Linked DNA regions of Mus musculus. The protein of the gene in region 1 interacts with the protein of each later gene in a pairwise test. Links are inferred from orthologs where the notes say so. Each region holds a gene or a part of one and is shown in the gene's direction. Other genes may lie near its edges. The genes, in order: Rint1, Epc1, Dcx, Scnm1, Lmo2, 2310011J03Rik and Sh2d4a.

Evidence for each region.
Region 2: the proteins of Rint1 (region 1) and Epc1 interact in binary tests that used the Homo sapiens proteins (3 or more experiments, as listed by UniProt). The two-hybrid records come from large-scale screens. The link is inferred for Mus musculus from reciprocal best matches to the Homo sapiens genes RINT1 and EPC1.
Region 3: the proteins of Rint1 (region 1) and Dcx interact in binary tests that used the Homo sapiens proteins (3 or more experiments, as listed by UniProt). The two-hybrid records come from large-scale screens. The link is inferred for Mus musculus from reciprocal best matches to the Homo sapiens genes RINT1 and DCX.
Region 4: the proteins of Rint1 (region 1) and Scnm1 interact in binary tests that used the Homo sapiens proteins (3 or more experiments, as listed by UniProt). The two-hybrid records come from large-scale screens. The link is inferred for Mus musculus from reciprocal best matches to the Homo sapiens genes RINT1 and SCNM1.
Region 5: the proteins of Rint1 (region 1) and Lmo2 interact in binary tests that used the Homo sapiens proteins (3 or more experiments, as listed by UniProt). The two-hybrid records come from large-scale screens. The link is inferred for Mus musculus from reciprocal best matches to the Homo sapiens genes RINT1 and LMO2.
Region 6: the proteins of Rint1 (region 1) and 2310011J03Rik interact in binary tests that used the Homo sapiens proteins (3 or more experiments, as listed by UniProt). The link is inferred for Mus musculus from reciprocal best matches to the Homo sapiens genes RINT1 and C19orf25.
Region 7: the proteins of Rint1 (region 1) and Sh2d4a interact in binary tests that used the Homo sapiens proteins (3 or more experiments, as listed by UniProt). The two-hybrid records come from large-scale screens. The link is inferred for Mus musculus from reciprocal best matches to the Homo sapiens genes RINT1 and SH2D4A.

The regions. Positions count from the first base shown.
Region 1 is NC_000071.6:23,794,211-23,797,710, forward strand, and holds part of Rint1 (RAD50-interacting protein 1), read left to right. Parts: intron 1-92; coding exon 93-277; intron 278-3,500. UniProt on the Homo sapiens protein: Involved in regulation of membrane traffic between the Golgi and the endoplasmic reticulum (ER); the function is proposed to depend on its association in the NRZ complex which is believed to play a role in SNARE assembly at the ER.
Region 2 is NC_000084.6:6,445,858-6,449,357, reverse strand, and holds part of Epc1 (enhancer of polycomb homolog 1), read left to right. Parts: intron 1-100; coding exon 101-453; intron 454-3,500. UniProt on the Homo sapiens protein: Component of the NuA4 histone acetyltransferase (HAT) complex, a multiprotein complex involved in transcriptional activation of select genes principally by acetylation of nucleosomal histones H4 and H2A.
Region 3 is NC_000086.7:143,930,420-143,934,398, reverse strand, and holds the start of Dcx (neuronal migration protein doublecortin), read left to right. Parts: upstream 1-1,179; 5' UTR 1,180-1,329; exon of another isoform or gene 1,330-1,502; intron 1,503-3,072; 5' UTR 3,073-3,094; coding exon 3,095-3,458; intron 3,459-3,979. UniProt on the Homo sapiens protein: Microtubule-associated protein required for initial steps of neuronal dispersion and cortex lamination during cerebral cortex development. May act by competing with the putative neuronal protein kinase DCLK1 in binding to a target protein.
Region 4 is NC_000069.6:95,131,213-95,135,152, reverse strand, and holds the start of Scnm1 (sodium channel modifier 1), read left to right. Parts: upstream 1-1,140; 5' UTR 1,141-1,257; coding exon 1,258-1,308; intron 1,309-1,524; coding exon 1,525-1,595; intron 1,596-1,864; coding exon 1,865-1,953; intron 1,954-2,041; coding exon 2,042-2,136; intron 2,137-2,239; coding exon 2,240-2,328; intron 2,329-3,126; coding exon of another isoform or gene 3,127-3,166; exon of another isoform or gene 3,167-3,347; intron 3,348-3,940. Other genes in the region: Lysmd1 (lysM and putative peptidoglycan-binding domain-containing protein 1), read right to left, coding at 157-336. UniProt on the Homo sapiens protein: As a component of the minor spliceosome, involved in the splicing of U12-type introns in pre-mRNAs. Plays a role in the regulation of primary cilia length and Hedgehog signaling.
Region 5 is NC_000068.7:103,973,287-103,976,786, forward strand, and holds part of Lmo2 (rhombotin-2), read left to right. Parts: intron 1-2,718; coding exon 2,719-2,934; intron 2,935-3,500. UniProt on the Homo sapiens protein: Acts with TAL1/SCL to regulate red blood cell development. Also acts with LDB1 to maintain erythroid precursors in an immature state.
Region 6 is NC_000076.6:80,317,755-80,321,836, reverse strand, and holds 2310011J03Rik (UPF0449 protein C19orf25 homolog), read left to right. Parts: upstream 1-1,288; 5' UTR 1,289-1,524; coding exon 1,525-1,654; intron 1,655-2,289; coding exon 2,290-2,489; 3' UTR 2,490-3,582; downstream 3,583-4,082. Other genes in the region: Pcsk4 (proprotein convertase subtilisin/kexin type 4), read left to right, coding at 1-31.
Region 7 is NC_000074.6:68,328,528-68,332,027, forward strand, and holds part of Sh2d4a (SH2 domain-containing protein 4A), read left to right. Parts: intron 1-724; coding exon 725-833; intron 834-2,507; coding exon 2,508-2,709; intron 2,710-3,500. UniProt on the Homo sapiens protein: Inhibits estrogen-induced cell proliferation by competing with PLCG for binding to ESR1, blocking the effect of estrogen on PLCG and repressing estrogen-induced proliferation. May play a role in T-cell development and function.

The DNA.
Region 1 (3,500 bases):
GCCTCCAGCCCTCAGGTGCTCTGGTGTCCTGGCCTGCGTATCTCTCCGGCAGCCTCGAGGTGCTGCTGAGTAGCTGCTTTTCCTTTCTGTAGGTGACGTGAACACTGCAGCTCCTGCTGGAAGCGAGCAGCTCAGCCAAGGTGGCAGTGACGACGCGCTCCTTTCCTATGTGTCTGCATTCATAGAGAAGGAAGTGGGAAGTGACCTTAAGTCTTTGAAGACACTTGGTAAACTCATAGAACAAATGACAGAAAGCAAAGTGAAGTTAGAAGAACAGGTAAGTGTTAGCCTCAGTGCAGTTCTGTCAACTGTGTTCATGGACATGGAACATAAGCAGTATTATGAGTATTGCACATCATGCACTGTCGATGCAGGCCATGAGGGCAAGCCTCAAACTGAGAGACAGGCTTTAAAGACCCCTGCTATGTAGTTTGTAAGTAAGAGTTCCTACTGACTTGCTGTGATAGCTAACATTTTATGTTGTTTTGATATAATAATTTCTTTATGATAGCTAGCATTGTATATCTCTTTCATTCAGTAACTTCTAGAACAACTCTATGAGTAATTTCAGAATGTGCAGAAATGGTTACACATAACCATTCCAAGTGTGTGTAATTACCCAGATAGAAAGAAACATGAGTATTGTATAGTGGTTGCTCGGAGTGGTGGCACACACTGATAACTTCAGTGCGTGGAGGTAGGAGGCAAATGCATCAAGAGGTCAAGGCTAGCCTCAGCTACAGGATGATTTCAGACCATCCTGGGTTCCATGGAACCCTGTCATAAAAAATAATAAAAAACTGAGAGAACTGTAAGAATGATTGTTTCTGGGTGCTGGCTGAAAAGTTATTTTCTTCTGCTTTTAAACATTTTTAGGGGTTCATTTTACTACGAATATAATGCTTTTATTTTTAGAAATCCAATGAAAATAATTTATGCTAAAGATAAGAAGGTCTTATAGTTGCAGTACTCTGTCAAAGGGAAAATATTTTATCATATAAGTAAGAAATTAATTAGGGCGAGCCAACTCTGGATATGTGGGCATGGTGTGTCTTTATGCTCTCCCATCCCCATGTGCTGAGTTAGGTTGAGTTAGGCCTCCACATCTCTGCTTTCCTGTCATACCTACTGATGGTCTCTGTGTAGCCTGATGGCTCAGCTTTTCTGCTTTTGCAAGGCTCTGGTGGAGGATGTCGCACTCCTGAGTTAGTCAAGGCTAGCCTAATCTGTGGCCTGACACCATAGGTGTCTTCAGCCTCGCCGTGCAGTCTTATATTGTCCTCAGTCATCCAGAAGTTTCCCCTCTTCCTGTGTGGCTGAAATGCTGTTACCTCTTCTCTAACCAAAAAGCGAAGCATCTCGCATGGATGTATTGACTTAACAGTCTATCCCATATTTCCAACTTATTTATAATCTGTTTACCTTTTCAGAGGTAAACTAGTTCTTTTGTTTTAAACAGGGTCCCAGATGAGACTTTAATTGTGTAGCAGAGAAGGGCCTTGAACTTCTGGTCTTCTTCCTTCCACCTCTGGGATGCTAGGATTTTCAACATGTACCAACAAATTGTGTGCCCAAGGATCAAACTCAGGGCCTTATGCATGCAAGGCCTGCACACTGCCAACCAGGAACTCAAGGCAGGAACCTGGAGTCGGGAACTGACGCAGAGAGCATGGAGCCTTCTCAGGGGTTCCAGAGTGCAGACTTGGCTGATCAGGCTGATTTTGCAAATGTTTTACCTGCTGAATGACCACCTGCTGCCCCAGGCTTTAGAAATATATCTTTAATGTTTTTAGTGCATAAGTAGGTTTCATTATGACATTTTCATACATATGTACCATTGGAGTTTGCACATGCTGCCAACCCCTGATCTCTCTGTTCCTGTCAGACAGAGGAAACACTTCTACCCCACATAAGTCTTCTAGTAGGAGCCAGTGCTAAGGCAGCCCTACACCCTAGCTCCTTCCTTCCCAGCACCTTGGCAGCCAGTGGCCTTAGTTTGCTTTATCCTTTGCTTCACCAACAGTCCTGTCTTCTCAGTAGACGAGCACACTTAGGTCTTCCCCAGAAAACAAACCAAAATCCTTCCCTTCATTTTTTAGTAGGTGTCTGTTCATTCATTTGGTTGTTCAGGTATTTTTAAAAAGCGTTTATTATCATTCTCCATTTTCTAGCTTGCCACTGCTCTTTTACCTCTTGAATCCACAGAGACTTGCTAAAGTCCGTAAGTGAAACTTGTCCTAGGGTTTCTTTCATTGCTGTGGAGAGACGCCATGACCAAGGCAGCTCTCATAAAGGAAAGCATGTAACTGGGGCTGGCTTCCAGGTTTGGTCCATCATCATCATGGTGGGAAGCATGGCAGTGTCCAGGCAGACATGGTGTTGGAGAAGGAGCTGAGGGTTCTACATCTTGATCTGCAGGGAGTAAGGAGGAGACTGTGCTACACTGAATATAGGAGACCCCCCACAGTGACACACTCCTTTCAACAAACGCATGCCTACTCCAAAAAAACCACACTTCCTAATAGGGCCACTCCCCATAGGCCAAGCATTCACTCACATCTATGGGGACTGTACATATTCAAACCACCACAAATCTGAAATTGTCCAATATTATTCTCATTTGTCTCTTAACAGGTTTCCTCAGTGGCTAGTAGCATTTGCATCTGTCCAACACTCAAGTCTTGCTTTCTTTTTTTTTTTTTTTTTTGGTTTTTCCAGACAGGGTTTCTCTGTGCAGCCCTGGCTGTCCTGGAACTCACTCTGTAGACCAGGCTGGCCTCGCTTTCTAATGCTGTGATAAAATGCTGTGATCAAAAGTAACTTGGGGAATAAAGGTGGTTTTGGTTTACAATGTTTGGTTTTTATATAACTGAGGACCACCTTCCCCCTTCCCAGGGGTGGTACTACACATAGTGGCTTGGACACTTCCACGTTAAACAAGAAAATGCCCACACACTTGCCTAAAGGACTGTCTGATGGAGGCATCTTTTCAGATGACTCTAGCTTGTGTTGGTTTGACAAGTTCGAGCCAGCCCTGTATCCTAGGAGTCTGAATCTTGCCTCCCTAGTGGGGTTGGTCCTAAACCCCAGTCATCTGTGCTCCCTGTCTTCCTTCCTCCCTCCTAAACCGTAAGTGTCCCTGTTATCTCTTGTACAATGTTCTTCTGTGACTACTGAGATCTGCTATCCCCACTGCCCGGGCTCACCTGCTCTCTCTTCTTCCCTTGAATTGGATTCTGTGTATCAGGAGAAGATCTTCAGGGGATTCCTGTGCATGGTCAGGAGTCAGGAGCGCTACCATAGCACACTTTCTCCCAGCTCCTAGGTCAGGCGGTTTTGTTGGTGATGAGGGATCGATCACTCTAGCTCTGACTGGCTTGAAAGTCATTCTGTACACCAGGCTGACCTGGAACTCGCAGAGCCCCACCTGCCCCTGCCTCCCGAGTGCTGGGAATAAAGGTGTGTGCCGCCGTGTCCAGGCTAGCGTGTCGCTTGTGAGA
Region 2 (3,500 bases), on another chromosome or scaffold:
TTTAACTATTCAGTGTACTGGTGTTCAGCTTTAGGGGAAAGCGTTCGGAACAGAAAGGAAGAAACTTTGATGTAATCTCTGGTGTCTGCTCCTTGTACAGGGTCGTGCTGGACAGAGCGCATTCAGACTATGACAGTATGTTTCACCACCTGGATTTGGACATGCTTTCCTCACCACAACCTTCTCCAGTCAATCAGTTTGCCAATACCTCAGAACCCAATACCTCGGACAGATCTTCCTCTAAAGACCTCAGTCAGATACTAGTCGATATCAAATCATGTAGATGGCGGCACTTTAGGCCTCGGACACCATCCCTGCCTGACAGTGACAGTGGTGAACTCTCCAGTAGAAAGTTACACAGGAGTATCAGTCGAGCAGGAGCAGCACAGCCTGGGGCCCACACGTGCAGCACCTCCACCCAGAACAGAAGTAGCAGTGGCTCAGCACACTGTGGTACGTTCATCTGTGGTACCCATTGCTGTACCAGGGCGGGGCCTTCCATCTTGTTGAGGATGTGGTGTTTTATTCTCATACTGAGATGCTTAAGGATTTCTTTGAATTCTCCTCAGTAGTGCTGTTGCTCTGTGAGTTTGTGTGTGTGTATCTTTCCTTAACCACAGCCAAAAAGAGGTGGTATGTGGTATGTTAATACATATTTAATGTTTAATTTGTTACCTTAAGGCAGCCCATGAACCACAAGATTGATTTTCAAATAATAAAATAAAAGGGACCCCAAGTTGTTAGTGGTATGTACTTGAACATCTAATCCGGTCTGCTTAAATTTTGTGGCCAGTAGTCAGTAGTTACACGTGAACTTACACTGACACTCGTTCAGAATAAAGACCAGAGAAGCTGACTTAATATTTTGGAGACATTTTTAGATAATCCCTACAGGGTGACCAAAACACTGGAAACAGTGCCATGCCCTGTGACTTTCTATTTTAAACTACTGAGTCCACATTATCTGAGTTGTTAAAATTATAAAAGCTTACTGTCAGCGTGGCGCAGCAGATTAAGATCCCGAGTGCCAAGCCTGACAGCCTGAGTTCAGTGCCCAGGACCCACACGGTAGAAGGAAAGGGTCCCACTCCTTCAGTTTGTCTTCTGGCCTCTGGACATGTGCTGTGGCATGTGCATGCACACACTCATACATACATACAATAAATGAAATCTTTTGGGGTATTTTTACTGGTGGTAGTTGTTTTGGTAGGTATTCTGAAAAAGGGTTTCACTGTAGTTCTGGCTGTCCTGAAACCACTTTGTAGGCCAGGCTGGCCTTACACTCAGAGATCTGCCTGGTTCTGCTCCTGAGATTAAAGCAAGCACCACCATGCCTGGCTTATGTTTACAATATTTTAAAATCATTTCATTAAAGTTCTTTTAGGATGATTTTAATACAGATTTTCTTTTTTTTTTTTTTTTTTTTCTCTTTTTTGTTTTTTGAGACAGGGTTTCTCTGTATAGCCATGGCTGTCCTGGAAGTCACTTTGTAGACCAGGCTGGCCTCGAACTCAGAAATCCGCCTGCCTCTGCCTCCCAAGTGCTGGGATTAAAGGCTTGCGCCACCACCACCCGGCTAATACAGATTTTCTAAAAGAGGATTGTTTCCCTAATTACATAATTAGGTTACAATTAAAGTGTTTTTGATTGATAGATAGATAGATATTTATTTACACTTAAAATGTTATCCCCTTTCCTGGTTTTCCCCTCTGAAGACCCCCTATCCCCTCCCCTCCCCTCCCCCCTGCTCACCAACCCAACCATTCCTGCTTCCTGGCTCTGGCATTCCCCTACACTCAGGCATAGAACCTCCACACAGGGCCAAGGGCCTCTCCTCCCATTGATGACCGACTAGGCCATCCTCTGCTACATATGCAGCTGGAGCCCTGAATCCCACCATGTGAACTCTTTGGTTGGTGGCTTAGTCCCTAGGAGCTCTCGGGGTACTGGTTAGTTCATATTGTTGTTCCTCCTATGGGGCTACAAACCCCTTCAGCCACCTGGGTACTTTCTCTAGCTCCTCCATTGTGTACCCTGTGCTCAATCCAATGGTTGGCTGTGAGCATCCACCTCTGTATTTGTCAGGCACTGGTAGAGCCTCTCAGGAGACAGCTATATCAGGCTTCTGTAGTTTGGGGGACTTTAATGATTGTAATTCCACTAATTTTACTACTCTTTTTCTGTCCTGGATAGTCCTTAAAGTCAGGCTGAAGAGCTGGTGTAGTGAAGGCTTAACTGACACAGGTGTGGGGAGTTCAAAAGTGGAAACTCTTAATTGGTTCCCCAAAAATATTTTTGAAGATGTATGAAATTTTTTTGAGATTTTTATGGAGAAAGTAGCTATGTTCTATCAACCCACATCATGTCGCTCCTGTGGTGGAGACACTGAAGAGCATGACAGACCTCCAGATTGCATTTCAGTCTATGGAACGAGGTGTGCTGGCATGACTTACAGAGGCATGTCAGTGCCAGTTGCAAACTTTGCTGATTTGTCTCCCAAACATCATTAAAAGGTAGACATTAGCAAAAGTTACCCAAAAAAGCCTTTCATAGTTATGCAGCTTTTCTCCATAATCATCATTTGATAGTAGGGCCTTTTTAAATAATATGTTTATTTTCAAATATACTTAGAGAATAAATGCCTACAGGCTACCATAGAGTTACACTCTGTTTTCTTATTGGGATAGATATTCATGAGATCTGAGGCCCTCTCTGTGGCTCTACAAATTATGTCATATGTGCATTTAACATAAGTGAGGTCTGCTAGCTGCCCCTGAAGACAGAAAAGACAATCCAGCTATTTGCTTGTTACATGGGAGTCGAAGTGTTCTCCAGAGACAGCCTAGATCTGCCGAGGGTCTCATGAGTGTCAGCCAGGTCCTCTCCAAAAGCATCAGCAGGCTAGATCTTAGCTGTGCTGACTCTGCCATCCTGTCAGATGGACAGGAGTCAGCTTCAAATGTAACCACTTCTGATTATTCAGTTACTGACTCTGATTGAATCGAAACTTACAAGTGATGCACACCCCCACCAGGCTCCTTTTCTAAGTAGTTATTAGTGAATTGTATACACATTTTTTAATAGGAAATTCCAACTGAAGGTACCAGGAGTGTACTCACTTCCTCAAAGAGTGCCCAGTTGTAAGGCTTCTCACTGCTCGGGGTCCCTTCAGCTTGCTACTCAGTCTTGGCCATTTCACAACTCTGCACCCATGGAGGGTGTTCTGAGTAGGGTGTGAGGTAGCCTCCAAGAAGGTAATGTAAATGCTGTGTCCCCTTTGTCCTGTGTGTCAGAAGGGGAGCTTGGGGAGACTTAGTGATGGGGACTTTGAATGTCTAGGGCTAGATCTACATAGGGGTAGGATAAATTGTTTTTAATGATCGTTAGTTAATACATGATTTGGACTGGTTTCAAATAGTTTTCTGGGCTTTTATTAAGCTATAATAGCATCTTTTCAGTGTTTGCTCAGTGGTTGAGAATCCATCTGTTCTGTGCATTTG
Region 3 (3,979 bases), on another chromosome or scaffold:
CTCCCTAGAGCCTATGACCTCCAAAGACATAGTAGCTTTTAACCAGTTGTATAGAACCAGAAGATTCCACTCTACGGACTAGACCTCAATTCCCAATCTTTAAAACACACTTCCCTTCTTAGGTGCTGCTTTCCCTTTTTTGATGTCTACACACACACACACACACACACACACACACACACACACACACACACACACACTATAAGCTAAAGTCCCATATGAAAGAAAGAAAATAAATCCTTTTGTCTCTCTCAGCCTCGGATACTTCACTCAGTATATCATTTTCGGTTCCACACAATTTCTTGCAAATCTCATAATTTCACATTTTACTGATGGGTGATTAAAATCATGCATATATCTTGCATTTTCATTACCCATTCATCTGTTAACAGACATCTGGGCTGTTTCTATTTTCTGGCTTTTGTGAATAGAGCAGCCATAAACACAGATATGCAAGTGTCTCTATGGTAGGTTATAGTCTCCTTTGGGTATATGCCCAGGAGTGGGAAGGTGAAACATTAACCAATGTTTTACATCAGTCTAAAATGTTTTGGAGTCATGCTGGGCCTAGAGACCTAAGTGCTGGCAAATTCTAGTAGCCAAGAAGCAGAACAGAGGCTGAAAATTTTCAGCAAATGAGAGGTCAGCCTGGGCTACACAGCGAGTTCCAGAACAACTATCACTATAAAGCTGGACCCTGACTCGATAAAACAACTGAACAAAAACTTGGAGAAGTGCCACTTTTCAATTCCAGCCTTCATGATTCCTGCAACTATTTTCCCGTGTACTGTCAATTTACTATTCCTGCTGACTTCGTTTAAAAAACAACCAGTGTTGGATGCATGAGCCGAAATGTTAAAAAATTTACATATTTTTTATTTTCTTTGAAGAAGATAAAAAGAGGAGATCTGTAATTTCTAAGAAACTTGATTTGGCCTGCTGAGTCCAGCCACTAGGCAGAAGGTTTTAGCCAAGTAAAATTGCCAATTTTCTAAGAGAAAGGGCTAGCACATTGCTCATTAGAGCATTCTGAGCTTGCCTGTGCAATCTTTTTTTTCCTACCCTGCAATTTCCTGTGCGTTATAAACGAAACCTTTCTAGCTGTTAATGCAGGCTGTGAATTGAAGAAAAAAAAGCATGTAATTAATCATAGGAGGTTGGGGGTGTTCGCTAAGCTTCAGTTACAGGGGAGAAGCTGGACAAGGCACTAGGACCTAGAAGGCAACTATCCACCCTGGCAGGAATTTCTTGCTTGGAGCTCAGACAACAAAGGCATAGAGAGATTGGTTTTCTTTCTCTCAGCATCTCCACCCAACCAGCAGAAAACCGGTGAGTGGGGCTTTCGAGTGATTTTCAAGCAGAATGTAACAGATGTCAACCGGGAAAGCACAAGGCACACGGCTTTCTTTCTCTGTGTGTTCGCCTCTTTCTTCTCTTTTATTTGCCTTATTCTATAGGATTTTTGTCCTCTAAGATTCTACCTGGGATTTTCCTTTGGAAAAGTGAGTTTGTTGTTCCTTTGTTTTCACTATGATGCTAATTTAGAATAATAGCACTTCTGATTCTAAAGCATAGCTTTATTTGCACAGCCTGCCTGGGGAAAATGCTTGCTACTCATCTTGAGGAGGTGGGCTCTTACTACTGCAGGTTGTCTGACAGAGACAATGCTGAGCTCAGCATAGGTCATGGTGACACTGGAAAAAAAGGGGGTACTGAGCCTGGCAAATATACCAACTACCAGTCCTCCTTTATCTCCTTTCTCCCTGGTTTCTTGCAAATCTCGATGTGGCAGTATATATATAGCAGCTGAGCCCTCTTGCTTTGTGAGTCTTTTTCCCCCCATTTGTGAGATGAATGTTAATAGTTTGGTTTCTTGGATGTCACATTACCTTTGTAAGGGGTTAGGGCTTTGGTTGTATTATTGGGTTGCATGTTTTCATTGTTTTGGACGTTTTTTTTTCTGGTGGGGGACGGGTTCAGGGGGGTTGAAATCCAAGCTTGACAGATGACTTTTTTTTTCCCTCCATCAATACACCTAAGCAATAGACAAGTTTGAAGTGAATTGCCTGCTTCGAGGGCAAAATATTCCTTCAGTCAGGGGAGAAACCCAGAACAATGAAAGGTGTACCTACTTGGAAAGGTCCCATGTGCTATTCAGGGACCCATTTGGGAATCTTTCCACAATTATTCCATTAAGAGGTGTTGCTGCATTCATTGGTCGGGGAGGGGATGAAACACCTGAAAGGAGAAAAAGGATTCTGTGATCAAATGGAAATGAAAGGGAAGCAGAGCTAATAGCTTGCTAAATAACTGGGTTTTTTCGACAATCCCTCCCCCTTTTAGACCCCAGCTTATTTCTTATGGATGCCGTATAGCGGCACCAGCTTGATGGGGAGAGGGTTTGATGAATAGCACAAAGGCACTGGGTATTCCCTGGAGGCTGTCCCTTTAAAAGAGAATCCTAGTTTATTCTGGGGGAGGGGATACACATATTAGAGCAGGCAAAAAAGGACAAGGAATAAAAGTAATTCACCCCCTTCCTAGCCATTGTATTGAGATGCAAAGGCTGCTTCCTACAGGAGGGTGCTAACCTTGGCTAGCTCCCTCTGTTTCTCTTTGAGGGAATTTAGTCAGGCTATGGATTCATTTACAACTGTTAGTCATGTGGCCATGTGTGAAGGAGCAGATGCCAGTTTTAATGTATTTTGCCCGAAGTTACAATTTGATAGGAGCCACTGTCAGGAAGCTCCAGGTTTTTAAGCTATTTCAACACGCCCTCCCCAAATTGGAACAGTGCCAAAAGTGCCACCCTTTCTATCTCTTCCTCCTATCCCCCTCCCCACCATTCAGTCCTCAGCCTACTGCCCAGCCCCCTCCTTCTTCTCTATTAAGATCAATATTCCTGCAGGTCAGGGACAAGCAGCAGATGGGTCACAGGCTTTTTTCAACCAGTTCTTTTCACAGGCAGCAGATTGCAGCTCTGGATCTGGCTAATATTTTAATTCTCCCCCCTCCCTTATCCATCCTTATTCTTTGCCTCTCCTTATCTCCACCCTTTTCTCTAACAATCAGGTTGCTGTGGTTCCACCAAAATATGGAACTTGATTTTGGACATTTTGACGAACGAGACAAAGCATCTAGAAATATGAGAGGGTCACGGATGAATGGACTTCCAAGTCCCACTCATAGTGCCCACTGTAGCTTCTACAGAACCAGAACCTTGCAGGCATTAAGTAATGAGAAGAAGGCCAAGAAGGTACGTTTCTACCGCAATGGGGACCGTTACTTCAAGGGGATTGTGTACGCTGTTTCTTCTGACCGTTTTCGTAGTTTTGATGCGTTGCTGGCTGACCTGACCCGATCCTTGTCTGACAACATTAACCTGCCTCAGGGAGTGCGCTACATTTATACCATTGACGGATCCAGGAAGATTGGAAGCATGGATGAACTGGAAGAAGGTAATTCAAGTAGTGAGTAGTGGGGTGGTGGCCCCTAGAGGGAAAGGACATCCTCGCTTATGGTTACATTTTTAGTCTTCCTTGAAAGAAACTAGGCTATTTGTTTGCTAAAACATCAAGTTGACTGATGCTCAGGCTTCTGATCCCAAAGTCACCACCAGGATCCTTAACTGTCATTCCTCATGGGGTTCCATCTCTGCTGAGGTTGACATGAATATGGGTTTTCTAATGCTAAATGTGCTTATCTACCTGGGTATACAAAGGAAACTCTGAATTGTGACACTCACTCTAGGTGTTGTTTATGGGTAACTCTGTATAGCACCTTCAAAGCAGGCCATGAAACCATTAGGGGAAAGAAGAATGTATGGTTGGTTTAACAGATAAAAAAATGTGCCCAAGTGTCCTATGGACTACTGATAAATTATTTGGGAATTGCCATTCATTAGAAATACGTACCCCAATGTAGGAATTCCTAGATGTGTTCACAGAGGATTAGACTTTTAGGTAAGTGGTTGCGGCTC
Region 4 (3,940 bases), on another chromosome or scaffold:
AGTTGGGCAGATCTGTCCCAACAGTGCTCTGCTGAGATGTGAAAGCAAAATAAGGAAGAAAAAAAACAGACCATAATAGAATTTAAATAATGTGAGAGGGGGCATCTTAGCGGGCCACCCACTTTCTCGGGACTATCTCAATTCTGGAAGACTCACCGTTACCCCGTATTTGAGTGCTAATCCAGCCAGGGTGTCTCCAGGCTCCAATTGATGCTCCAGGCGTCTTTCCCTCACTGGGGAGCAGGATGATTGTACCAGGCTTCCATAAGAACGAGCACGGCTCCCATGCAGCAGCCCTGACCCCCCGAGGGGAGGCTGTCTAGAGGGAGAAGCCATCTCCTCACTGTCAAGACCTAGGGTCACAACTGAGGGAAGCCCAGCTAAGTAACAGTGACGGCCGAACCCAAGGAATGGATATTCAGATAATTCGTTTTCTCTTCTCTCGTCTCTCTACAGTCTCCCGACTCTCGAGAGACTACATTCGTCGTCCTCCTCTTGCTGCTTCTTGCCGTGCCTGGAGTTACTGTCCGTCTCTTAAGAAGTCTGCCAGGCCGGTTACATTTCTCTTTCCACGAGCTCCTTACCCATAAGTATCTTCCCTGAGCTGTCAGTCGCTGACCCGGTTGACTTTCGACGCCCCCTCCCCAACTCCTCGCAAGCCTGATCTCTGACCTTTGAACCCTAGACACCCTCATCAACACTCTTCCCTCAGTGTATCCCCACATCCAACAGTCGGGATGCCGGGTGCTCCCACATCCTCTCTGTTCCAAATAAGGCCCACCCCAGGTAGGTTGTGGCTGAGGAGTACGAGCCTGAGGACAGCAAGAGTTTGTAGTATATAGTCCACTGAGATCCCTGACGCCTCGCTCCACATCAGGAAGGTCCCACCCTGAAATTCCGGCTCCACATACAGGATCTTGAGTCTCCGAACACCTGGATCCTTCGAGATGTGAGGTCCTGTGTCCAGGTGAGCAGTGTGCTCTTCAAAAAAATAAAAAAATAAAATAAATAACCAAAAGACTTCATTTCCCAAAAGGCACAGCGTCTCAAAGTATTGTAGGAAATGCAGGCCCCCTCAGGGCGCTGGAGGCGGGTCTTCCGGTTCGCGCGACGCAAGCGTGGAACATCATCCCCGGAAGTACAGATTCAACAAGAAAGAAACCGGAAGCAGAGAAGGCGATAGTGTACTCTTTCTACGGTGGCCTAAAGGAGCAGCGAAGTAGGCGTAGGGGAATTTATCGTAGTCTCACAGTCGCTATGTCTTTTAAGAGGGAAGGGGACGACTGGAGTCAACTCAATGTGCTCAAAGTAAGCCTTAGTGAGAGTCTGATCACCTTCAGCCGCCCTGTTGTTTTGTTTTGTTGCTCTGGCGACATCTAGGGGAGGGCTTAGGGGACCAGAACTGAGTGGTGACCCCTACTACCCTATGATCTGCATAGCCCCGTGTGCCATTTGACTCCTTATCCATACTATTTCATTTCCATCCGTCCCTCTTACTCATTTCTCCTATCCTGCTCCCTGCAGAAACGGAGAGTTGGGGACCTGCTGGCTAGTTACATCCCTGAGGACGAGGCACTGATGCTGCGGGATGGACGGTGAGAGCGAAGAGTGGATCAAGCCTGGGGATTCGGGGATCAAAGGCTCAACAAACTTTTGTCACTAAGGAGTTCAGGAGTATAATAGGACTCTTTGGCTGGAAGTGAAGTGTAAGGGGTGGAGATCGGGAAACCTGGGAGTTGGTGGTGGAGTACTCTGACAGAAGTAGGACCTACTCACCATAGCAAGAACACCCCGACTGCAGGCTCTCGAACACACAACATACACACCACACACCACACACATCATTCACTTCTCGTTTCCCTAGCTTTGCTTGTGCCATCTGCCCCCATCGACCAGTACTAGACACGCTGGCCATGTTGACAGCCCACCGTGCAGGCAAGAAGCATTTGTCCAGTAAGTATCAGAGAAGTGGGGAGGGCGGGAGATGGAGAGCAAGCCACCAGGCATTGTGCTTTTCATTCCTCCTTGCTTTTGTTCTCAGGTCTGAAGCTTTTCTATGGCAAAAAGCAAACAGGCAAGGGAACAGAGCAAAATCCAAGACAGCAGAACGAATTGAAGACAGAAAGCAAAACTGAGGTGAGAGGGCATCAGGTGTGGTTTAGACAGGGCTATACTTCACACAACAGGCTTGAGGGAACGTTTGCTCCTAACAGCTCTAACTCTGTCTCTTCATCACCAGGCTCCTTTGCTAACCCAGACTCGAATCATCACCCAGAATGCTCTACACAGAGCTCCCCACTATAACAGTTGCTGCCGGAGGAAGCACAGGTCCGTGGAATGGGAAAGCCAGGAGTGGAAAAGGGTAGAAGGAAATAGATGACTTTAAAGTTATTGCTCTCCAGATTGTATTCTGAGAAATAATAATCTTGTGGAAATATTTTTTTTAAATGATGGTAGGGGCTGGACAGATGGCTCAGCAGTTAAGAGCACTGACTGCTCTTCCAGAGGTCCTGAGTTCAATTCCCAGCAACCACATGATGGTTCACAACCATCCATAATGAGATCTGGCGCCCTCTTCTGGGGTGTCTGAAGACAGCTACAGTGTACTCATATATATAAAAGAAATCGTAAACCATCATTTTTTCAGGTTTTTTGTTTTTTGGGTTTTTTGTTTGTTTGTTTTTTGAGACAGGGTTTCTCTGTGTAGCCCTGGCTGTCCTGGAACTCACTCTGTAGACCAGGCTAGCCTCAGAAATCTGCTTACCTCTGCCTCCCAAGTGCTGGGATTAAAGGCGTGCACCACCACTGCCCGGTGGTTTATGATTTTAAAATAAATTTTTTAGCAAGTGGAAAATTGTAGAATAATCATACTTATTAGGAACATTAGGGCTTGGTGAGATGCCTCAGTGGTTAGGAACGCAGGGGGCTCTTCCAGAAGTCCTGAGTTCAATTCTTAGCAACCACATGGTGGCTCACAACCATCCAAAAGGGATCTCTTCTGGCATGTAGGTACACATGCAGACAGAGCACTCCTATATTTTAAAAAGTGCAATAAATAAATACATTCAAAAAGAGAGAATTGTAACATTAGTAGAGCACGGTGGTGTACTTTTTGTTTGTTTGTAGCCCTGGCTGTCCTGAAACCCTGCTATTTAGACCAAGGTGACCTCATATTCACAAAGATCTGCCTGCTTCTATCCCTCAAGTGTTGGGATTAAAGGTGAGCACTCCATGCCTGGCCTTGGAAAATCTTAAGACAAAAACTTAGAACCAGCCGGGCAGTGGTGGCGACGCCTTTAATCCCAGCACTTGGGAGGCAGAGGTAAGCAGACTTCTGAGTTTGAGGCCAGCCTGGTCTACAGAGTGAGCTCCAGGACAGCCAGGACTACACAGAGAAACCCTGTCTCGAAAAACCAAACCAAACCAACCAACCAACCAAACAAACAAACAAAAAACTCTTAGAACTATGTATTAGAGCATAAGGAATATGGAAAGTTACAAAACTTATGGAATATCTGTCTATATTGAGGTAATTTATTGTAATGACTTACAGTTTGTAGTCATGTTGTTGGGTTACAACAATGGGCAGCTGTGAATGAGAAGTCTAAGAATCTAATAGTTGCTCAGTCCCACAAGGCTGGTTGTTTCAGCTGGTCTTGTATAAATAGGTTCTAAAGATGTGCTTGGCAAGTAAGTGCAAGCAGTGGAAGAAGAGTGAGTCTTCCTTCTTCCAGTGGTCTTATGTAGGCCTCCAGCAGAAGGTGTGGCCTACATTAAGGCGTGTACACCACACCTGGATCTGGGACTTGCTTTGTCCCAGGCTGACTTTGAATCAGAGTTCTCCTTGCCTCCTGGGATTAAAGGCATGTTATACCTTGCCTGGACCTAAGCTTTTCACAGCCACTGTGCCTCAAGATCTCCATGCCAAGATCCAGATCAG
Region 5 (3,500 bases), on another chromosome or scaffold:
CAAGGATCTTAGTTAACTTTCAAATATGAGGATGGATGCCTTATATATACCCTATAGAAACAAAGGCTCTAGTAGGAACCTGACAGGGTTTCTCTTTGTAGTTCTGGCTGTCCTGAAACTCACACTGCAGCCCAGGCTGGCCTCAAACTCAGAAATCCACCTGCTTCTGCCTCCAGAGTGCTGGGATTTTTAGGTGTGTGCCACCACTGCCTGGCAACTTCTAGTGTATTATTAAAACGATTTAAGGTCTTAGCCCACCTCACCCATAATTCTGTATACATGAGAGACTGGGGCAGAAGAATGGAAAGTTCCAGGACAACCTGGGCAATTTAGTGAGATCTTGTCTTAAACTTTAAAAGGAAGGAAAGGGTTTTCGAGCTGCCTCAGCTGCTAAAGGTGCTTGCTCTAAGTCTGATGACCTGAGTTTGATTCCTGGAACCCATGTGAAGGGAAGAGAGAACCGGAATACAGCTCAGTGGTTAAGAGCATCCCCTGCTCTTACATGGGACCCAGGTTGGATTCCCAGCACCCATACTGGGTGGCTCACAACCCTCTGTAACCCCATCTCTAGGGTATCTGAGGCCCATGGCCTTCTGGGGCACCTGCCCTTGTGTGCATCTTCACCCTTCCCCCCCCCCCACACACACACACATACAATTATAAATAAAAATAAACCTTTAAAAACAATATAAACAAACAGAATTGAGAAAGAAGTCAGTGGTGGAGCACTTACCTAAAGCGACTAGGGACCTGGGTTTGATCATCAGTACTGAAACAACAAACAAACAAACAACACCTAAAACCTGACTTGATCTTTGTTTTTCTCAAAGAAACTGACCTGAGCTTCAAACTTCCTGGTTCTAAAAGAAGATACTCTTATATTTTGTGCTAAAATGGTGGGTTTGGCATTAGCATTTAGCTAAATATTGACAACGGATGCTTAATAGTCTCCTAGATAGGGTCACCTGTAGATGCTGGAGTGCCCTATAAACACTCATTCCCTGAGTCTCACTGTCCCCAACTATAATGAAGCTGGGCTTCATGGGTACAGGCCAATTACGCCACAAGGTCATTTGGTAAAAGTGCCAAATAAAACTAAGAGACACAGACATATCACCTAGGGTACTCAGGAGGAAATTCCATTGGAGATTTCATAATAGGAATAAAAACCAATTAAAAAAATTTTTATACTAGATTTTTTTAAAAGCAGGTTTTATTTGAACAGTGTTCCAGGAACACATATTACAAATTAACAAGCATTAAGTATCCCCTGTCTCCTATCTGACATCACATTCATTTCTTCCATGCCGTTTTCTCTCAGTAAAGTTATTTCTTACATGTAAAACAAAAGTGGTCAGGTTCCAGGGAGGCAAAGCAAGCAGAAGGCCCTATGTGTGACTTTAAAGCAAATTTTTACATTAGTGTGTGTGTGTGTGTGTGTGTGTTTATCTATGTGCATGGATAGAACAGCCTGCTGTAATTGGCTCTTTCTTTCCGCTGTGTGTGTCCTGGGGACCACATCAGATCATTGGGCTTGGTGGCAAGCACCCTCACCTCCTAAGCATCTTGTGATCCCCTACATAACACTTTTTAAATGAAAGAACACATCCCTCAGGCTCACTGTGAACACCGTGCCTGGATTGAGACTTTGGTATCAATTTAATTGCCTTCCACTCTCTTTTAAATCCATTGTTTGGCCCCCTCCTCCACTCTCTTTACTAATTTGATTTTATTCAAACTACTTTTGCTGTGGTGAAAAAAGTTTGAAGGAAAAAAAAAAACCACATCACCACTATCCTCTGTCTGTTTAAGAGCTGCATCGTGACCTAGATTTCCTGCCAGAGTCATTCAGATCTTGTACTTCTTTGAGACAGTGTCTAACGCAGCCCAGAGCCTCCGGATGATGCTGATAAACTTGCCATCCTGCTCCTCCAGGTTCCACCTCAGGATGGACTGGGTGTATGTCCCCACTTTAGGTGGTACTGGAGAAATGACCGTTGGGCCTCTGACATGTTGGGCTGTCTCTCTACCTATGAAACCGAATCTCCATCCAAAGACTCATGCAGGATGTATGGAAGAATGCAGAACTTCAATCGGAATAATCAGATATTGACGGAACTTTCTGTTTGGGGAAGAGAAGGCAACCAAATATAATTTCGATGGCTTTCTTCCTTCTCTACCTTTGATTCTGTGCAGCGGGAAGGTCTTTGTAGGGTGCATTCAACAGGTTATCTGTAGATTGTTAGCACACTGGGGGGGGGGGGGGTCATCAGATGCTTTGGCTGTGAGCAACTCCTTTGGTCCCAAGTCTATTCTTTGGGATTCTTTGGCAGTGCCTGTGTCCAAAGAAAAAAGGGAGGGAGGGCTGGGAAGATGGAGGAGAGTAGGAGGGGAAGGAGGAAGAAGCAGATTGGATCAGAGGTGCCTGCAGAGATGCTGGAATGTAGTCAAGGGTCCAAGGGCTATCTGTAGGTGCCTTGGACACCTCCTGGTATCCCGTCTTCAGTTTTTCAGATGATAAGGTCTCTCTAGCCCACTCCCGTCTTTATCCAAGGTTGTCTGTGTCTATGCAGTCTGAATTTGGGCGTCCTTTCTCCTTATACTGCTGGAAGGAAATGTAGTGAGGTTCCCCATAGAACCTTGGGCATGCAGTGATTCCTGGGACTTTGTGCTTGTCTCCCTTCAGGCAGCATATCCTAATGCTTGGCTCTTCCCCAGGGAACCCGTGGATGAGGTGCTGCAGATACCCCCATCCCTGCTGACATGTGGTGGCTGCCAGCAGAACATAGGGGACCGCTACTTCCTGAAAGCCATCGACCAGTACTGGCATGAGGATTGCCTCAGCTGTGACCTCTGTGGGTGTCGGCTGGGAGAGGTGGGGAGGCGCCTCTACTACAAGCTGGGACGGAAATTGTGCAGGAGAGACTATCTCAGGTATATCCCTCACACTTCTGGGGCACATCCGGGGTTGGATACATAGTCTCTAGCTCCTGAGGTGTCTGCCTAAGGGGCCTAGGCTGTGGAGGCTGAGCTTCAGCTGCCTCTTCAGAGAAGCCGTGAGTTCTTCCTCTACTGTGGCTATGTTTGCAGAGACACATCACTGCATGGTAAATCACCAATGTTTTTAAAGGTAAGAGAATAAAAAACACGGAATTCAGAATAAGGACAAAATTCTGGGGGTGGGGGCAGACCAAAGGATAGGGTTTGGAGAAGTGTACGTAGGGAAATATCCAGGGAACTAGGGGAAGAGAGAATTCATTTATAAGTTTCTTGGGTGGGTTCTCATTTAGTACTCAATAAGCATATGCATATGTGTAGATAGTCTTTTTTTTTGTTTTGTTTTGGTTTTTGGTTTTTGGTTTTTTGAGACAGGGTTTCTCTGTATAGCCCTGGCTGTCCTGGAACTCACCTTGTAGACCAGGCTGGCCTCAAACTCAGAAATCCGCCTGCCTCTACCTCCCAAGTGCTGGGATTAAAGGCGTGCGCCACCACGCCCGGCA
Region 6 (4,082 bases), on another chromosome or scaffold:
CCCTCCTGTTACACCTGCTGCAGCAGCCTGAGCAGCGACTACACTGCCTGTCCCCTGTCCCTTGTGTTGGGAGAGCTCCAGAGCCCCTCCAAGGCTTGCCACCTCTGGTGGCCCCCCAGCTACCAGTCTTGGGCCATGGTGCTGGCTCTGCTGGCCAGGGCCTTTGGGAGGCCCCTCGGCTTGAGGAAGGCCCACCTGCCCCAGGCTAGATACCCCAGTGCCCAAAACCATGCATGCACAGATCCCTGGAGGCTGGAGAGCCAGAGATGCCTGGCTGTCAGGACAGAAGGCCGGTACCCCAAGGTCCTGCTCTCAGGCTGGAAGAGAAGCCTGCCCCAGAAGGCCAGGGCAGAGCAGCTGCATGGGTCAGGTGACAGCCCACCGCTCAGCCTCAGCTGCTCCCAGTGGAAGAGATGTGTCCTTACTCATTTTGGAGCAGGTACAGTGGGCAAGAGGTCAGACCACAGCCACCAATCATCTGCCCCTTCCCTGTCTCCAAGCCATCCATAGCCCCATGTCTAACCTCATAGTTGCCAAATAAAAGTTAAACAGAAGATGTCGAGTTTATGGTGTCCTTGAGGGTAGGGTGGGCCCCTGGAGGAATAAGGACCCACAGAGGAAGACTGCTCTGAGCCCAGATCTGCCAAGTGCTGAATTACCATACAGCCATGAACAGGAAGCTAGCTCGCTCCCCCATCCCCCACTGGTTTTTTTTTTTTTTTTTTTTTTTTTTTGGTTTTTCGAGACAGGATTTCTCTGTTTAGCCCTGGCTGTCCTGGAACTCACTTTGTAGACCAGGCTGGCCTCAAAAATCTACCTGCCTCTGCCTCCCGAGTGCTGGGATTAAAGGCGTGCGCCACCACTGCCCGGCTTTCCCACTGCTCTTTTGAGACAGGGTCTCACTGTGTAGTCCTGGCTGTTCTGGGATTCCCCATATTGACCAAGATGATCTTGAACTCACAGAGGTCTGCCTGCCTCTGCCTCACAGTACTGAGATTAAAGTACTGAGTTAAAGGTCTACCACAAGGAAGCAAAGCCTGTGGCTAGGTTCCATCCAGCATTTATTGAGCGCCCACTGTGTACCTGGCAATGGTTGTACACTGATTACTCTCGAAATCACGTTCACCCCTTTCCTCCCACCACACGCGGTGAAGGAGGGCAGAGTTCCTTCTGATCTTACTGGATAGCAACTAGGAGCATCTAGGCTTAGGGCTCTTTAAGACGGGGGAGGGGTTTCGCGAGGCGTGGCGCTGGAGTGGACCGGAAGTGCCGGAACGTAGTGGCGTTCAAGCAGGAAGCGGAAGCGGTGGCGGCCGCCTAGGTTCTTGGAACGAAGATAGGCAGCGGGGTGTTCCAAGAGCAAACTGGCGCGGAGATCGAGCCAAACTCCGAGGTTCCGGGAGGAGGGAAAGCGAGACGGGGTAGGGACCTCGGCGCAGGTCTGTAAGGGGTGCGTAGGAGTTCGCGAGGTGGGCGGGCCGAGCCGAAAGTGGACCCCCAGTTAGCGCGCGCTCCACCTACAAGATGAACTCCAAGGCGAAGAAACGCGTGGTACTGCCCACTCGCCCCGCGCCTCCCACGGTGGAGCAGATCCTGGAGGACGTGCGAGGGGCACCCGCTCAAGATCCTGTTTTCACTGCCCTGGCCCCGGAAGGTAGGAGAACGTGAGACTCCCGAGTGGGGAGCAAACCGACTGCAGGGACGAATCTTTTTTGTCCCTGCCCTTCTCTTCCCCTGCAAAGAAAGATCATCAGAAATAAAATTGAAAGTGCTCCGAACTCTTGGGAGGCAGAGGCAGGCGGATTTTTGAGTTCGAGGCCAGCCTGGTCTACAGACTGAGTTCCAGGACAGCCAGGGCTACACAGAGAAACCTTGTCTCGAAAAACAAAAACAAAAAAAAGTTGAAAGTGCTGCCAACCCGGGTCTAGGGCAAGAGGATTGCTGTGAGTTCAAGACCTTGTCTCAGAGGGGCGTGGCCAGCTGCTCCTACAAATTAATGGGGGGCCAGAGTACTTGCAGGGGCCATATCTGCGACTCCTGGCCTAGGATCCAGGAATCCAGGCAGTCCTGGGTAGAACGGCAGGCCAGGGTGGCTGGAGGTGTCCTGTCCTCTCCATGACACCAAAACCTGAAACTGAGTCTTGTTTTCTAGTGCCTAATAGGCCTATATAGCCCAGGCTGGCCTCGAACTCACCATGTAGCCAAGGATGACCTTGAACCACTGATCCTCTTGCCTCTGGGTTGGTGGATGTCAGGCCTGGGGATGGTGACACTGTTTCTTCTCTTCAGACCCCCCAGACCCATCCCCAAGGGCTGAGGACTCTGAGATCCAGCAGGAGCAGATCTACCAACAGAGCCGGGCCTACGTGGCTATGAATGAGAGGCTGCGGCAGGCGGGGGAAGCTCTGAGACAGAAGTTCGATGGCCTTCGGCAAGCTGGTCAGCGGCTGGAACAGGATATCAGCCAGGTGACTTCAGCCACCTCCTAGAGCCGAAGTTACACCTGATGTCCTTGGTCCAGGCCTGGGCACCTAGCAACCAGAGGCTCTGGGTCAACATTTGCTGTCCCAACCCTGGCCCGGGGAGACCCAGTGGCCCACCTTGCCAGCTAGCAGCTTTGTTCCCTCTTCCATCCTTAATGGCCTCTAATTCATGATGGGACTTAGGGACATGGCCACCTCCTCATTATGGGGACACTGGCCTAAATTGCATCAAGGACTTGATTGCAGGTCGGGGCTCAAAGCCAGTCTGCCCCATAGTGACCGGTGTGCTCTTCTGTCCCATGTCACCCTGGGCAGTGAAGGTCTTCATCCCCAGCATCCACAGCAGGCCAGCCACTGGCATCTTGGTTGAGAGAATGGGCTAGCTGCACGCTTCATAGAGCCTGGCTCAGGCCCTCTAGGGCTACACTGCCTTCTCAGTTCTCCCTGGGGCCGGGGAGACTCATCAAGGGAGTTTCCATTCTGGGGAGCCCAGGGGTCCAAGAGGAACTCAAAGGCCAGGTCCCTGTGTGTGGTGAATGTTGCCCCTTCTGGATCTGGGGTTTAGTTTGCCTTCTTGCAGAAGACCCACCACTCTTGGGGTGGCTGGACTTTAGTTCTGGAAGATTAAAGATGTTTGATGCCTGAACACAGTTCTCCCTTAAGCCAGGCTAGATCACTGGGTACCCAAGCCCCCTGCCACCCCTTGGCAGCTCAGGCGCTAGCTACCACACCTGCCTCCTTGGGTCCCAAGCTGGCTGGAACTGTTTTGTCAGAAGTGGCCTTAGCTTGTGGCTACATCATTCCTGACACTCCACATTCCTGGCGGTCACGGGGTCCAACTTGCCCTGACCAGTGCAGCTTGGACTCCTGGTCCCCACCTCCACCATGACACCTCCACCACAAATGACCAGTGGCTGATGGCCAGGTACAGCTTGGCTGAACCTCAGTCAACCTCGGCTCCAGCATGTGGGGATGTGACACGCTGTCGAGTCAGTGGGGAGCTCAGAAACACCTTCTGGGGTTGAACAGAGCTGTAGAAGAAGGTCTTGGAACGACCCCCCCCCCCCAGAGCCAGTGATAAAGATGAAGCTACAGATCGATGGAGTGGCTCGCTTTATTAAAGATATGAACAAGAATCAGAAGCCAGGCAGGGTGTCCACTCGGGGGTCTGCGTGGGGGGTCGGGGGTCAGTATGTACAGAAGTGTAACACTGTAGTAGAACAGGGCGGGAGACGGTATGGCAGCAGAGGACACACTGACCAGGTATGAGCAAGGGGTGACATTGGCCAGGGACAGCGACAGACACACACACACACACAGTGAGGTAACTGGTAGGCATGATGCCCTGGTCAAGCACCCAGTGGTTAGTCTCCGGTAGACCACTGGTGTCCAGCTCAGAGCGCTAGCAGCCATCGGCAGCCTGGCGGCTAGCAGACCCCTCCTGCTCTGAATCTAAGGGCTCGTCAGCTCTTGCCTACCCTGGGCTGGATGTCACACTGTGTCCTGTGTCCCCCACTGTCTGGGGTGAAGAAGGCAAATGTGGCTGCTGGGCCCCCAAGGCTGGCAGGATGGGAGGAGGTGGCTGGGAGAAAGATGGCC
Region 7 (3,500 bases), on another chromosome or scaffold:
TCTCCTCCTCCTCCGCCTCTTCCTGCTGCTATGGCACCAGGACATTGAGCTTGAAGCTTTGCTCATGCTAGGAAACTCAGTAATAAGATTTCAGAAAGCTATTCCATGTTCCTGAGCTGAATCCATGGCCCTCTTTTAGTTTTGAGATACGGTCTTGCAAAATTGTTTGTGCTGAACTTGTACTCACTCTGTAGTGTATTTCAAAGTGTTCTAAGAAGAAAACAAAGGAAACTCATGCCATTTTGAGCCACCCCAAATCATATATCAACTTCCATGTTTGTATAGAAAGTTGGAGAACATATAGTCCCCAGCTGAGACTGCCCTTGGAAGCCTGTCAGCTTCAGCAGATCAGTGATTATGCTGGCATGTTTACTTCAGAGAAGGATATTTGAAATATCTGACTGCTGTGTCTGGGGAAGGACCGTTTAGTAAGGTCACATGCAATATATTGTGCTAAGCATTTCTGAAAACACGATGTTCACTATAACTCTGTAATGTTCTTTCCAGCTGTACTTTGGGAAAACAGCCTGTGAGAAGGTCAGGAAAAGAGCCTACAGCCCTATACTGAGGTAGCTGAAGTTCTTGCTTCAGGCCTTGCTGACACCAAGTTCCTCCCTAATGGGAGGAGACAGTTTAATAGAAGCCAGGATGCTGTCCTCTATCCTCTTAAAGACCCCGTCATACTCTTTCACCTCTTCCCAGCTCTGTCTTTATTTTCCAACAGACTAAACCCGTCAAGGAAAAAGACCACGAGGAAATGAAGCAGACAGAGGATGAGAAAACCAAGCAGATATACAAGAGCTGGAAAGAAGACTCAGAATGGCAAGCATCTCGTGAGTACCCAGGATCTCAGGAGCAACATGTAGGGTCTCAACTGGACCTGCTAATGAAAAACTATCCATGCAGGAGGCACCCACAGTGGGTCCTCGAGAAGTATCTTTCCACTGAGTGTCACTCAAATGGTATCAATAAACGCTAATTACTCAGATGCTCCGCAAGCCAGAAGGCTTCATTCATCTTTTCACCATTAAATTATAGTGTCTCTGTATGGTTAAATTACACATAGCTATGAAAACTATCATGTTGAAAACTCTTTAGTGGTTTTAAAAGTTGTCTCTTTCTTGGATAAGAAACATTATAAATAGTATAAAAACCACTATTTAAAAATTCGAAATTTTGAAGGAAGAGAGCAGGAAAGTTATTAACATGTGAACCTTGTTTTTTTGTTTTTTTTTTTTTTGTTTTTTCTTTTGGAGAAGATGGATTTTAAATTGTTTGTTTGAATTTTACTTCTTATTATTCTGTTTTGTTTTTTCCCCAAGTTCTCAATAGTGCATATACTTTTAAACAGTTTTTTTTTTTTAAAAACTGACATATCTCAGTTCTCCTTATAGGGTGACCTATGAAATGCCCACCAAATCCATGACTTTGTAACACAGAGCACACAAAATGGACAGGTGGGATATGTTTGCATCATTTTCATGTATCTCTGCCTCTGACCCAACATTGACCCTCTTTGGAGCTTGTACTGCCAGGGCCAAACCAGAAAGATCAGGATAGACAGAGGATGGGCAACCCAGGTATGAGAATAGAGTCTTCACATGCCATCAACAGAGAAGACTCACTCAATTGCCTGATAGTCCCCTGAGACTTGTAAAGAGGTGAAACCCACATAGCAAGATTTTTCTAGATGCTCAGAGTCCTAAATTAGTCTACAGTTCCTCTACAACAAATACCAAAAACTTTGGTGAAAAAAAATATTTGCAAGATACAATTTGTGGCCTTCTTGTGCTAAGCAGTGAAACTTGGGTATGATGAAATATTTTGAGTATGTTTTCAGAGTCAAACATGACAGGATTTAGCCCATAATGTCTGGAATTTTAAAAATTCAAACAAAAATCCTCCATAAAAATGAGTGATTGCATCCTGTAATAATCTTTAACACTATATGGCTAAAACATAACCCTGTCTATTTAAGAAAGAAATTAAAATTAGAAGGCAGATTGGGAAATGTGTGTGTTTACAAAGGTGTTCTGAAGTTCTCCACAATGTGTTTATGGTTAGAATCCCTTTGCTTTTTGTCTCTTTGGCCAATTCCCCTTCAGTGAAGTCTATGGTAGCCTCTGGATGTGACTTTTGACCAGCCTCTATTCTTTGTCTCTTTGACTAGTCCTCACAGCTTAGGTTTGCCAGGTGCAGTAACTTAACCTTGCTGTACATTTTCCACCCTACCACCTTCTTCTCCTTTGTCTTTCTTTTTCTTGTCTTTCCTTCTCAGAAAGTCCCTAGTTCCTAAATGCAGATAGGAATTCTGGAGCGAGTACAGGAGGGGCCTTAAAATGTGATAGTAGGTACTGGGGATGATAGTTAATATGAGCACAAAAGCAACTCTGTCTGGAGCCTTCCCAGAGTACCATGGAGCAGGGCTGAGTCTGCTGTGTCTGTGGGCTCTGAATGTGACTGTTGGCAAGCCTGGTGGGCTAACTCAGACAATGTTATCTTTCTAGTGCGAAAATCTAAGGCGGCTGATGAGAAGAGACGCTCTTTAGCTAAACAAGCACGGGAAGACTACAAGAGGCTATCCCAAAGGGGGAGGAGTGGGGACGGACTGCAGAACCCACTGACAGGTCCACAGAAGCCCAGAAGACCTCCTCTTCCTCCGAAGCCCCAGTTCCTACAGCCGCTGGGAATCCCTCCAAAGTCTTTAGGGTAAGAAGCCATACAGAGGGGTTTCATCATAAGGGCCAAGATGGACTGATTAAAACTGTGTTCCTTGGGGCATGAGATGCGGTGGATGTTGGCTCACTGCTTAAGTCAACACAGGCTTGCCTCTAACCCGGCTTCCTTGATTCCTTTCTTTCCTGTAAGTTATCTACAGTGGCTAAAGTTTGAACCCAACCACAGGGTGACGATGTCAAGGTGACTTGCTGTCCCTACCTCCATCCAGTGGCAACAGGCTGACAGAAACGAGGAGGGGGAACATGCAGGCCGAAGGGTGTTTAATGATCAGCATTGCCTCTAGAGACTAAAAGTAACATTAGGATCTTGGGCTACTTTTTATTGCTGGAGTCAAGGTTTGATGGCAGCTCTCTCCTAAGACACAGAGAGAAGATCACAGTTTCAGAATTTTGAAAGGATCCATTTTGGAACAAAGTCTCTATTTGGAGATGAAATTACATTTACCTTCTAGGGGCAACACGTGCTCGAAGATAAAAACGAAAAATTTAGTGATCTAGAAGAAAACAGCATCTTTCATGTTTACTGACTAACAAATTCTTTTTTATAACTACTGACTTATATAGAATGTTATTAATATTCTAATATTTATTTGTCTGCTTGTAGCAGGATCAAACCCAGGGCCTTTCACATGTTAGCTAAGCAGTCTGCCACTGAGCTACATCTTCTGCCCCTAAAAACTAAAAAGAATTCTGTTCAGAGTTTGGGAAAATGAAACAAACAAACAAACAAACAAACAAACAAAATTTCTGTGTTTTAATTGC